2 linked regions of the Neodiprion lecontei genome follow. The protein of the gene in region 2 purifies or fractionates together with the protein of the main gene of each other region. This does not show direct contact. Links are inferred from orthologs where the notes say so. Each region holds a gene or a part of one and is shown on either strand. Other genes may lie near its edges.

Region 1 (5,768 bases), on a different chromosome or scaffold from region 2:
ATCCTTGCAAACTTTTTTCATTTTAACAAGGACTGAATATCAAGACGCGAATAGCACGCAAAGTTTCGGCGGTTAAACTGGAGGTAAATTTTCAAGATGGTGACGTCTCGACGATTTACCGATTGGCGATTGTTTATACATACAGCGACGCCACCACTCACTTTCGCAGAATCACGTCAACGAAAAATTGACGATTAGTATGAAAATGGTTCTGGATCTATGTTCAGTACAATACATTTATGGCATGACATAAATAAATATGAATATATTCTACTTTTGTCCAATCAACTCGTACAATGTATTTGTAAATATTTACTCACAACTGTCATTTTAGCGGTGGAAAATTTCCATACTGGTTACTTATATCGCCATGCACTCGATATCATGTAGTGACAATGTAATTATGGCATGATTGTCGCGTACATTTAACCTGACCCGAAGCCTGATCGCTGCTTACGTTGCACTGTTCGGATATTTTGAATTTAAACTTAGACATGATAAATTAATAAATTCAAGTTTCAGAAACATTTATGAGAATATTCAACGTAGATGATTTTGAGATGAATTTATTGGCTAGTAAATACAGATGTGTACATTACCTATAAGAAACGAACGTGAACACTTCATGACATCAATTTAATTCATCTGATTATATATTGCAACTGTTGGAAATTGATTTAGTATAATATTTCTTAGCATTACTTTTACGAATTGCAGTTTGAACAGCGTTTTATTTAAAACCTTGATTATTATTATTATTATTGTAGTAAGGCTATGTACAAGGTGACAAAAGGTACAGTACATAACATACACTCTTTACATTTACGTACGCGGTAAAATTATTGTAAAAGTTCGATTCAGCAGCTCTTTGTATGTATTGAATGTTTTATTTAACTTTTTTTCTATTGAGAATAATAACGTACGTGATAATTTTGGGTTTGTGTTTTCTTTCGCGCTCATTATCACCATAAGTGTGTCTAAGTCGTTTTTGCTCTGATAGCCGCACGCTTTCCAGTCACAGCCTGAAAGCAAAAAACAAATGTCAATACCAACTGTTGTATATTGTCCAGTAGATGAAACGAAAAATTTGTTCATAAATTACCTGGAAACCAGATTTGATGCTAGCGACGGAGCACCTAGACCCACACGATTCACACTGAAGGAAGAATAGCCGAGTATCTTTCTGCAATATGGTGTCAGGGGAGCGACACGTGTGACACGTAACATACTCCTTGATGTATCTCCTTAGTACATTCTCTATCTGCTTTTGCTGGAAGCGACCCTTGATAATAAGCTGACTATTGCCATCAACAGATCCACTGGTTCCCAGTTCAGCCAGTAGGAAGTCCAGTAAGTGCTTCGGCTGTCTGTGCAGTGTTTTACAAATCTGGGAAAGATAATAAAGGGTCCGTTTAATTTTTCAGACAAAAGGGTATTCTGCAGACTATGGCAAATTGTAATTCATTGGTGAGGGCTTCAGGTTTGAATATTTTGCGAGAATATACTTACAATCTATGAAAAAATGAAAGAAGGAAAAAAAAAAAGTCACTTTGTTTCAAATTTTCGCAAGTAGGGTATCGACATATTGATTATTCCCATGCATTTAGTTTTAAAACTATTACATCAAAAAGTTAAACAATTCAATACCTCAGTAAAGTTTGCAAAAGAAGTTTTCTTGGTGCCGATTCGTACGACTTGCGGGGGCCTCATGACAAACTTTTGCTTCTTTCCAGCCACCATGTCAGGATTTTTCTCTCTCATTATTTCAAATACTCTGGCTAGTAGCTCATCATATGTGTAATCTCTGTCTGAACCAAGCCACGACGTGGTGTCCTCGACTGGTACAATGGAAAAGAGTCATCAAAATGTGACTAAAGTGGTAACAAATTTCTTAATAGCATTACCATGAGAAACAAAATATAAATTTAATACTTCCCTATTTTGGTTTACTACTTTGTAGCAAGTACAAACGTGACACGAAAAGGTAAATATTAAACTAAACAGCGAAAGTAGAATTGTGACACAAACGGCTAAGAAAGCATAAAAACAAGCATTTTAGTGCAAAAACAAATACTAGTCGTTATCTAGTCGACCAACGTGTCTTACCAGTTTCTACACTTCGCTCAGATTCAGTGAAGCATGTTAACAGATAGAATACACGATAAGCAACTCGTAGCAAAATAGTTTTTTCAGAGTTTAGTCTCAATACTTACCATTTTCCCTATCTTCTGCTTCCTTCTTTTCCTCTTCAGCTACTAGGTTATCGAGAATGTTCTTCCTTTTCTTCTTCTTTTTGCCCGAGAACTCCATATCCAGGTCAAAGTTACTTTCCGCAGGCCCATCTTCACCGATTGGCTCTGCGCCATCCTTAAGATAATAGGGTAAGTATTCAAAATGTCAAATCACTTCACCAAATGAATCTGCGATCCTGAAGTCACTCAAGAAATCGCAGCTATGTCTTTCGAGATGTATTTCTTGTGTTATGTTTTTATATCTTTAAATCATGTTCCATAAAAACAGCGAACACAAGAATTCAACAATTATAGACTTTCATTTCATCGCTATAATAAAATTCATATAACTTTCAAATCATTCGGCACGTAACACCTACTTCCTTCTTGCTTTCTGGGAGAGCCATATCGAGTTCATCTAGATTGAATGCCTTCTTCTTTTTTTTCTTTTTTTTACCAAAATTTTCTAGATCAAGGCCTTCGTCGTCATCTATCGCTCCCAATTCTGGCTCTTGATTTTCCTTATCACCGATGCCCTCGGTGGCTTCACCACCGCTGCCGCCCTCAGCCATTGCAGCATCGAGATCGAAAGTAGTCTTCTTCTTTTTTTTCTTCTTTATTTTCATAGTAGGATCAAAGATCTGAAAAATTTAAGTTTCATTAACTATCAGTCCCATCTATATGGTGAAAATCACAGGGGAAACGAATCTATAAAATCATACTGTTATTGAGAAAAATATAAGTACCGTCGACGATGAATAAATATAAGCATATTTTTAGCTTGAGAAGCATTGATTATCCTATGAATTATTATCGGTATAAAGTATTACGCAGGAAAAAAATGAATGGATGATACATCATGCAATACGCAAGAAGGGTGTTTATAGTTCTATTTTATCGCTTTATCCAAATTATCACGGATATCAAGAATGATTGTTGTAACTCAGACCACAACCACACAGATCACGTGGACGCATGGAAATCTGCCTGAAAATCCGTGATACGTTGATACAGGATTGAGGTTGTGTTTGCGATGTATTATTAAAAAATTTCTGATTCGAGTCATGTAAACTGGACGTAAAGCCAAGCAATATTCACCACATTCGGGGGAATAAATGGCTACAGAAGCGTGTAATATATGAAAAATGCGTAAATGGGAACACGTTGTGCCATTCAATCTGTGCACTGTTAGTGAACCTTATCCAGTCACAAATATTGGTTCATTAAATACATACCGAATCCTCTTCGGTCATGTTGATAAGAAACAGAGAACTTTTCTTTTTGTACGTAATTTGGTTATTTCGAGAATATATTTAACTGGTTTGTCGGAAGAATGAAAAATACTTTCTGACGTCTATTGCATCAGAATATTCTCTCGGTGCCACATGCAGGTACAAGAGATCAATCGGCGAATCAAAGCACGCAAAATAGCAATACGGTGGGAAGCGAAAGCACCCGATTGGTAGAAACCTCCATCAAAATCCGGTGTCTGACCGACAGCTGCTGCCACGTGCTGAGGGCGCGACAAGTCCGTGAAGCTCTGACGGCTCATCAGAGTGAAGTTCAGGCACGCCTACGTCGTTTCCAGTTAAATTTGACGAGTGAAAACGAGATGCGAGTACTCCTTGCCGGCTAGTTTGAGTACCTACTTTAGTACGCGGCAAAATGCATCTATATTGAGACGAATGATGCTTCGAAAAATGCGTCTCGATTCCTTACGTGAAAATATTATATTTCTCATTTTCAGTACGCGTTGAGAATAATATGGTCGAATTAGAAGGAATTCAGCTTTGCAGTGCATAACTGTATGTCCTCTGGTCGCATCCTGTTCGTAATTAGGGTCAGAAGAATGTGTTATCTCATACATTCAGCTTAAGCGCTAGTCAGTACAGTATGCAGTATCAATAATTTTATTATATTGACAACATCACGACTTTCGATTCCCTGTGATTGTTTTTTTTTTGTTTATTTTCGTCGTTTGAAACGTAATTCCAAACTATATCTTATCCGTATCCGAATAAAATTACTAGTATATCCATACTCCGATTTATAACTACAAATTATATACTGTAATTAAACTTGATAAACTTGAACCACACGATGTTCTAGTCATGTTATACCCAGTTCCCGGAAGTGTAATGTCCGTTAATTTTGAGCGTCTGAGTCGTAGAAAAATCATTGCACGGTCGTGAATATTAGCTCATTCGGTAAATTTGTGCAGACGAATTGATTTCGTCAAATATCGCTGCTGGTTATACGCAGTCACGACTGCAGGAGTTACCTGGGCAATGAGTTTCTTGTTATCGAATTGAACCGACGGCGCCCGCCAGCCGCAGTTGCGCCGTTCGCAAGTCGCTTGCGCAAAGGCGAATAAGTACTTACCAATCGCCAACAGGCGATTTCAATCGCGTTCGAACCGTGAGTTTCGAACTCAAAGCTAAAATCAGAGGAGAAAACAGTTGGTGTTGTTGCCCGCTGCCTTCCGCTGGTTCCTGCGGAGTTAAAGTAGTGCACGCAACCGTACGTCGCGCTACACTATTTGACTATTCCATTTCTATGCACGAATGCGTACATCGTACGACATACGTGTAGTGCCGTATTAGAGTGGGTATTGGATGTACCGAAACTATACGGATATTGCTGCTCGATATGTTTGTCGGGAGCTTAGTTGCACAGCGGCTGAATATTTCTTCGACAATGTGACAGTTGATGACAGTAGGCGGATATATGATACAACGGTCTCATTTTTAACCGCATTTAGTTCGTGCAATATATTTCCTCATTAGAATATAAGGTAAAATATCGCCTATTTGAAAAAAATAAAAAAAAGAAACGTTCCTCGATGCGGAGTGTACGTACATGCATGTTATGGAAAGTTTATTTGAATGCTGTTTGTATGAAAATAAGAAAACTGAAAAAACTGGGCGCTGAATTTTATGATAAAATGTAACCCGATTGTAAAATAATAACACCGAAAAAGTGACTTCTGCTCGCTGCAAACGTTATTATAACGCTAGTTACGTCTTAAATAGAGAGTGTGAAAGGTTCGTGGTGTGACACATCAAATATTACAATTGTTTACAGTGGTGAAATTAACGCGAGAGAGTTTTCCATTATTGGTTATGTTTTGCCTTGCTACATGGGGTATAACAATCGCATGTACTTGCAGTAACTCGCACTTCGATTGATTTTCTAATTTCCCAGTCTTCGATATACTTGTGAATGATTTCAAGGTTAGCTCGAAATTCCGATGTATCGAAAAATATTTACTGGTATTATAAAGGTCGTAAAATTCGTAAACAGAAATTGTTATAGTCACAAGCGTTTCTCATTTGTGTCTTTCATTACCCAAATTCATTTTTAAAACTATCCAGTTTGCTCACATTACTTCAGATTGTTACCAAATTTTTGGCAAGATGAACGGAATACCAGAGATGGAGCAGATCATAAGCCGTTTGGAACGGGGAACAGTGGTTACCAGATTTTTCCTTCGCAAGAGACCTGAGAAGAAGACTCTGTTGATACGTAGAGAAACTA
Region 2 (6,310 bases):
TGGCAATAACAATAAGTAGGACATTTTTGTACTTGTTGGCAATTCATCTGAGAATTATTAGAATCATGTTAAACTAGGTATAATGATGCAAAAGTTTTTGTAGCATTTGAGAAATTTGCCATCTAAGTCTAGTTTTAATCTGTTGAGTGTTCTTCCGGTGTGCTTCGGCAGTGTCGTGGAATTCCTGCAACGCCTAAAATTATGTAAACTTAAAAAAAAGTCCGTTAGTATTATTTAAATGAAATCCTAGAATCGCAACTCGAATTATTGGAATAAACGGTTACACGCGCGATTAAGATCGTGATTAAATTTATAACTGCAAAGCTTGCACTTTCGGCACTGGGAGTTGCCTAAATTGGAAATTGTTACGAGGTATGAAAATTTCCACAGCACATCTTCAACTGATAATGAAATTTCATTATTTTTCCCAATTTAATCTGAACAACTTAAATTATTTCTACTATTTCGAGATTTGGAAAATTATAACAAAACTTGCAAGGTCGCTAGATGAATAACGCGATGTCATACAACAAATTTTTTATAAAATTTCATGTGATTTGAAAGAAAGTCGTAGAGTAATGACCGATTTTTTGTTTTTCAATTCTGGTTGTTGTCGTATGGTGACTAACAATTGGAAGCGTCATGATGCACATTGTTATCAAAAAACAAAAAATATTTAGCCAAGCAAAGTTTAACTAAGTAGGCAAAGTAATGTCTTTGAAATTCAGGAACTTTGGTGCAAATGATTTTTTCTAACTAAATCTATATGGTAGCTTCATAGAACTCATTCTCTATTAGCTTGTATGTATTTGTAATCTGAGCACAATGTAGGATGGCAGAACAAAGGTTGAGCGTAATCGCAAACACTTGAAAATAAGTATATTACAACAGAGTCAGATTTATTAATTCTTTTCACATATTTCTGTACATAAAACATTATATTATTGTAATTGCCAACAGTGGATGACATACAACAGGTATTTCGATTATTCTATGAATGAATCTGCCGAAAGCATGACATAACATCTTGTTCGCTGAATCACGCACTATTTGAGCAGAGTCAATGATAGTGTATTTTATACAATTAAGTAATTAACTTAATGAGCAAACATTTTGAAAATAATGATTTTTGAGCTTCAGTGAAAAATAATCGACTACATTGAGTGAAAAAACTGTGCACAATAAGAAAAATGTATGTCAGTCAATGGCAGATGCAGACTTACAAGAGATGAAGTGGCTAGCCGCAGCATTAATGAATAACTGTCACAACATTTACCTGTAACTGGTAATAATGGGTAAGTAATTGCACTTTAGGCGAAAACAGTAATTGTAGACAAAATCTTCGTACTTCCATCACTGGTAATCCTCATCAGTAGATCGATTTGGATGTTTATTCATTTCACACAGCTCATTCTGATTGTGAACTTCCTGTTGAGTTCAACAGCTGTTTAGTTCTTTTGGTTAGTTAAGATGTTAACCATACCCTAAAGACAGTATTGTTGACCTTATTGTAGTTCGACCTCAGTAAGCTTAGAGGCATATGACTATTGCGACGGTCATCTCGGTTTAAATCAAGTCTATCCCTGACCCAAACATTTCACCAATGACTGATCAATATTTTTGATATTATTTCGACCATGTAGAACGAATGATTAAAATTACTTTCACAGAATAGGTACTCTGAAGTTTGAAGACAAACTCTCAGTTATTTCTCTGCTTCTTCCAGTACCAAAAAATTCCCGTGTTTCCCTATAACTGCTTATGCAGTTTTAGTTTCACATATAATATGGTTCTTGAATAGAATCTATATAAAATAGGTACGCTTTTGTATTCAGATTGAGTCATGGTTGATACATTTAGGCTCATACAAGATGTCAGGAGTAAGCTGAACTTGAAATTATTAGGCTTTTGTCGAAGATGGCACGACAGATAAGATAACGCCAGGTTACCTGCATCACGAAATATCAGAATTGACTTCTCAGGGTACTTTTTAATAGTGTCGTAATAGTTGAAACTTACTTGCTGAATGATATCCATCATAGACTGTGAACTGTTGGTCTGATAGAACTCGTTGATTTCTCTTGGAATGCAAAAAGTGCTTGCGTCATTAGGTTGAATTGCAACATTTTCACCAATAAGGCGAAACTCTGGGGGATTGAAAATGGGTCCATTAAGTTCTTCCTTCATGAATAGCAGGGTCTTTGTGCTACCTGGGACGTACGGACTAAAATCGATTATTTTGACATGATCTTTTTTGTGACGAATCACATCAAATACATCTGGAAAGATAAAGGCTTCATTGTAATTGCAACGTAGAGAGAAGTCACACAAACTTCTGTATGATAACTTGAACTGCTGGAGAAGAAGCTCAAAAAATCACTTCAATGTTTTGCACCTAAACCAAATACTCATCTATGCGCACCATACTTGGCAAAAATAATTTGCTTATAATTTTATTTATGCTAGCAGTTTAGTTTACATCTATAAAAGTCTGTGATAATTAGTAGCTTTACAAGGAAAGAATGAAAGCAGATTTTACTCAAAACCACAGGAAAAGAGGGACACATTAAGTTTTGCGGTGAAAAAAAATAAATAAAAAATACCCATACCTATTGTATTTTTTACTATAAATGTAGCACATCTTAGGCTGCACACAGTGGTTTTCATTAATTTAGGACGAAATTCTGCATTTTACAAGTATATTTTACCAAAACACATAATATGTCCCTCTTTTTCAACAGTTTTGAGTAGAATCTACACTTTTATTTTCTATTATGTATTTATAGTCATTCAAGGTGGACTGCTGTCTATACTTACAATTTGTCAATGATTCAAATCTCTTCTTTATCCGTTCATGGAATAAACTCTTAATATCCTGGCGTATGTCATACTTCTCCGTTTCGATATACAGATAATATTGCGATAGGTCTCGCTGACAAATTCCTGAAATAATTTGAAATACTTATCGGCTGCAGAAGGGACAAATCATCAAAGTTGCTCTGTCCAAAATTTTAACAGTGGCTATTTATTACAATCTTCACGATTATATAAAATAGAAGTTAATCATTATATGTAATACATCGATTACCAACAAGCTCGCCATTTATCACAAAGCAACGAAACTCTGCACAGGGATTTATTTCACGCCATTTCTTCAAGACCAGGCAGGGTGGCACATTCACCTTCTTATCCTTTAAGGATTGTAGCTGATTCAGGTCTTTTACCAATCGATCTGAACTTTTGAGCAATAGATAGATTTCTTCCAAGGTTGTGCATCTTAGTGTTTTTGTAGGGGCAACCCATGCTGCATCCTTCAAAAGTCACCAAACTGCTATATTTCACTACAGATTTGATCAATTACACCTTTAGGGCCTGCTATTTTGTTACATTATTTTTTCTTCAAAAATTACCAATAGCGAAACGGATATCAATCTCTGGCTGTCAGACAGACATGCAGTGCTTTTTCAACGGATGTAACTGGTACCTATTCTAGTTGGATATACAGGCTCATTTATTCGTTGCTCAACGCTAGACCCAAGTGAGAGAGAAAACCGCTTACGCAGGTGCCAGGTTGAAAGGCTACATCAATTGCACTCTGTGTTTAGCAACGAACAAATCACCCTACAGACCATAAAACTAGCTTAGTTTCTACTTCATCTCATTTACCGCTACTGCATAGAGTATTTCGTTTGGGAATGGAAAAAGCCCACTCACCAAAGGTGCGCTCCAGTTCAATTTAACAAACACTGCACCAAATTCGTTAAGGACATCCTTAATTTGATTGCTGAACATCGGATAAGACGGCTCGCTTAAATCCTGTAACAACATATTATTCATACATTTATTAGTAAAGATGATGGAAACACAGATCGGCAAGATGGCCTGATGTGATAGGTTTCCTTGAAACGAGCCAGTCTTTAGATGCAGTTAAAGATAGCACAAGTCCGAGAGGATGCAATCAGACTCACATTCGTGAATTGTGCTTGGTCTAGGTGAACGTCGTCGTTGTCATTCGGTAGTACCAAAGTACCGTCGGACCATCTCGAGCTGCATGATTTCGAATAATTTCGCGCCTCTACAGGTAATCGAAACGACTCATGCTCCAGGTACGCCATAACCTCATCTGGTATCGGGACGGTGACAGCCTCCAATGACTCTTTGCCGAACAACGGATACCAAACGCTAAACGAACACTCGGCAATCATTTTCTATAGACAATCTCCGATAGAAATGGAAGTTTTCGGATCAGTCGTTAGATCTAGGAAGGGTAGAGGCACGATGTAATATTATTACCAACAAATTCAGACGATACATAGACGAGCAGTTCTTAAGGTTTTCGCGTTCTGGGGTACTGAGTTAGTTCGGTACCCCAGTAGTCTGAGGCGCTGGCGTCACCGTGTCGTTGTATTGTAACATCCGACCGGAATGTCCGTATGTTTTATCGACTATTATGACTGCATGTCACTTTTATCAACCAACCAAACTCGAAGTACGAGAATCTTGTAACCATAAGGTATTAAAACCACTGTCTAACTATTTGGAATATCCCTAGATGGAAATACCTATGACATTCACTAACCAAAGCTTAAAAACCATGTTACGAGATCTTCGCACTACAAAGAGCTATAATATTATTATACGTTATTATATATCACTATCATATTAACACCATAATTAACTAACACCATTATATACAATTATTCTATAACACTCGACAATGCCATTTGTGCAATTCGACACTGAGAGTTACACTATAAGCAACTTACGCTATACCACATAGCCTGGAGTATAAAAGACTGTAAAACCCTAGATAAATGTATGACCAATATAATGTAAAGATAGCACTGCTGCAATAATCCATAAAACCAGAGACTGCAAAACCTTCGAAACCGTGAATACTAATTATCCAGCATGAATTATACTTTCCTCCGTAACGCCGTATTGTAGACAACACGCGCAGGTTTTGTAGCCATGCAGATCTCCAATGTGGAGCCATACAGAGCTCCATCTAGAGAATACATTACGAAACTTAACGACGAAACAATTGAAGGTAAATCAACTCGCAATAAACTCAAAGATGCATACGTGGCAACGCCCAGTAACAGGCAACCAACAAACTTAAGAAAAACGTTCTAGAAGCTTCCAAGCCGATTTATATTAATATAAGAATTAATAATTACAAAAGAGAATTATATACGAAAGCACACATGCAAACCTGCTCTAAGACTACCAATTATCAAATTGTTAAATACCCTAAATCTGTTAAGATAGTTATAACACAAAAACCTAAGAATATTCGCAGCAGCGCGATTCTAATAATGTTAAGCAAATAGCAACTATGTCTCATAAACAATCGCTATTGTACTCCAGGTGAATAACGACAGTAATCAATTATAACACACATGCAATTTCACATATTTACACGCTATAAAACTAACAAAACGAAGAGTAACCGATATGACAATCTTAATATACAGACTTTGTAACGAACAGGATAGTAAGAATATTTAAGAAGTAAGCTATGACTAGAATTCAGCGCATCGTGACTCCAAAAGTGCACAAGGCACTAACGTACACCACGAAACATGGGTCACCTCTAGCGCATACGCACTACGATTACCATATTATGTCGTGGCCTAATTCTAATTCCTAGAAGAAAGGGGAAGGTGCGCAAAAGTTGACAAAATCTAAGGAAGGGGATCGTTTTGCGCAACGATCAACACCTATAAAAACGGCGACCGATCATCGGATCGTTCTCTTGGTTTCTACCACCAGATTCGTCATCTTGTGCCGGTACAGTCTCGCGGTAAAATCCTTTTGTCTTTTGCATTTAAACTTTTCATACAACGTTACTCTGCCCAAAAGTCCAGCGAGCTTTCAGCTCCATTTTGTCATATTAATTTAAGATCTTACTCTGAGTAACTCCGTTTTTGTGACTCGAAATATTGAACTTATGAAATAAATCCAAGTTAATCAAAGTATCCAAATATATTAAAATCAGTCATTTCGTTAAATCCTCTCACCAATCTACGCTGCAAGTCATCATATCCAGATTATTCCAAGGAATCCTTGTTCTTCAACGAAGGATTATGAATACGGGTGTTAGTTAAGCAGCGCACAGATCCCCAATCGCCTTCCAGCCTTTCCAGAGTATAGGTCGATTTTAAAGTGAACCCCAGTCAAGGTGTCTCGTCGCGCTTCACGATGAACCGTGTAATCGAGCAGCATTGCGCAAGCAAGTCTTGCATCGAACTCGGTAAAACCGCGAGTGCAACCCATGAAATGATCAAAAGTCTCCAGCCACCCTACC

What was found.
Region 1: the proteins of cell division cycle protein 123 homolog (region 2) and eukaryotic translation initiation factor 2 subunit 2 purify together in Homo sapiens (affinity purification with mass spectrometry; 4 studies listed by BioGRID and IntAct, counting the BioPlex papers as one, with this or other methods). This does not show direct contact. The link is inferred for Neodiprion lecontei from reciprocal best matches to the Homo sapiens genes CDC123 and EIF2S2.

Annotation. Positions count from the first base shown.
Region 1 is NC_060261.1:38,616,084-38,621,851, reverse strand, and holds eukaryotic translation initiation factor 2 subunit 2, read right to left. Parts: upstream 3,640-5,768; 5' UTR 3,485-3,639; coding exon 3,467-3,484; intron 2,873-3,466; coding exon 2,612-2,872; intron 2,368-2,611; coding exon 2,214-2,367; intron 2,140-2,213; coding exon 2,107-2,139; intron 1,839-2,106; coding exon 1,648-1,838; intron 1,388-1,647; coding exon 1,103-1,387; intron 1,023-1,102; coding exon 978-1,022; 3' UTR 551-977; downstream 1-550. Other genes in the region: 1-phosphatidylinositol 4,5-bisphosphate phosphodiesterase gamma-1, read left to right, coding at 5,648-5,768.
Region 2 is NC_060264.1:36,452,701-36,459,010, forward strand, and holds cell division cycle protein 123 homolog, read right to left. Parts: upstream 4,339-6,310; 5' UTR 4,206-4,338; coding exon 3,969-4,205; intron 3,817-3,968; coding exon 3,715-3,816; intron 3,312-3,714; coding exon 3,089-3,311; intron 2,944-3,088; coding exon 2,818-2,943; intron 2,280-2,817; coding exon 2,020-2,279; intron 1,950-2,019; coding exon of another isoform or gene 1,875-1,949; exon of another isoform or gene 1,812-1,874; intron 1,805-1,811; coding exon of another isoform or gene 1,760-1,804; exon of another isoform or gene 1,525-1,759; intron 1,485-1,524; coding exon of another isoform or gene 1,449-1,484; exon of another isoform or gene 1,429-1,448; coding exon 1,354-1,428; 3' UTR 762-1,353; downstream 1-761. UniProt on the Homo sapiens protein: ATP-dependent protein-folding chaperone for the eIF2 complex. Binds to the gamma subunit of the eIF2 complex which allows the subunit to assemble with the alpha and beta subunits.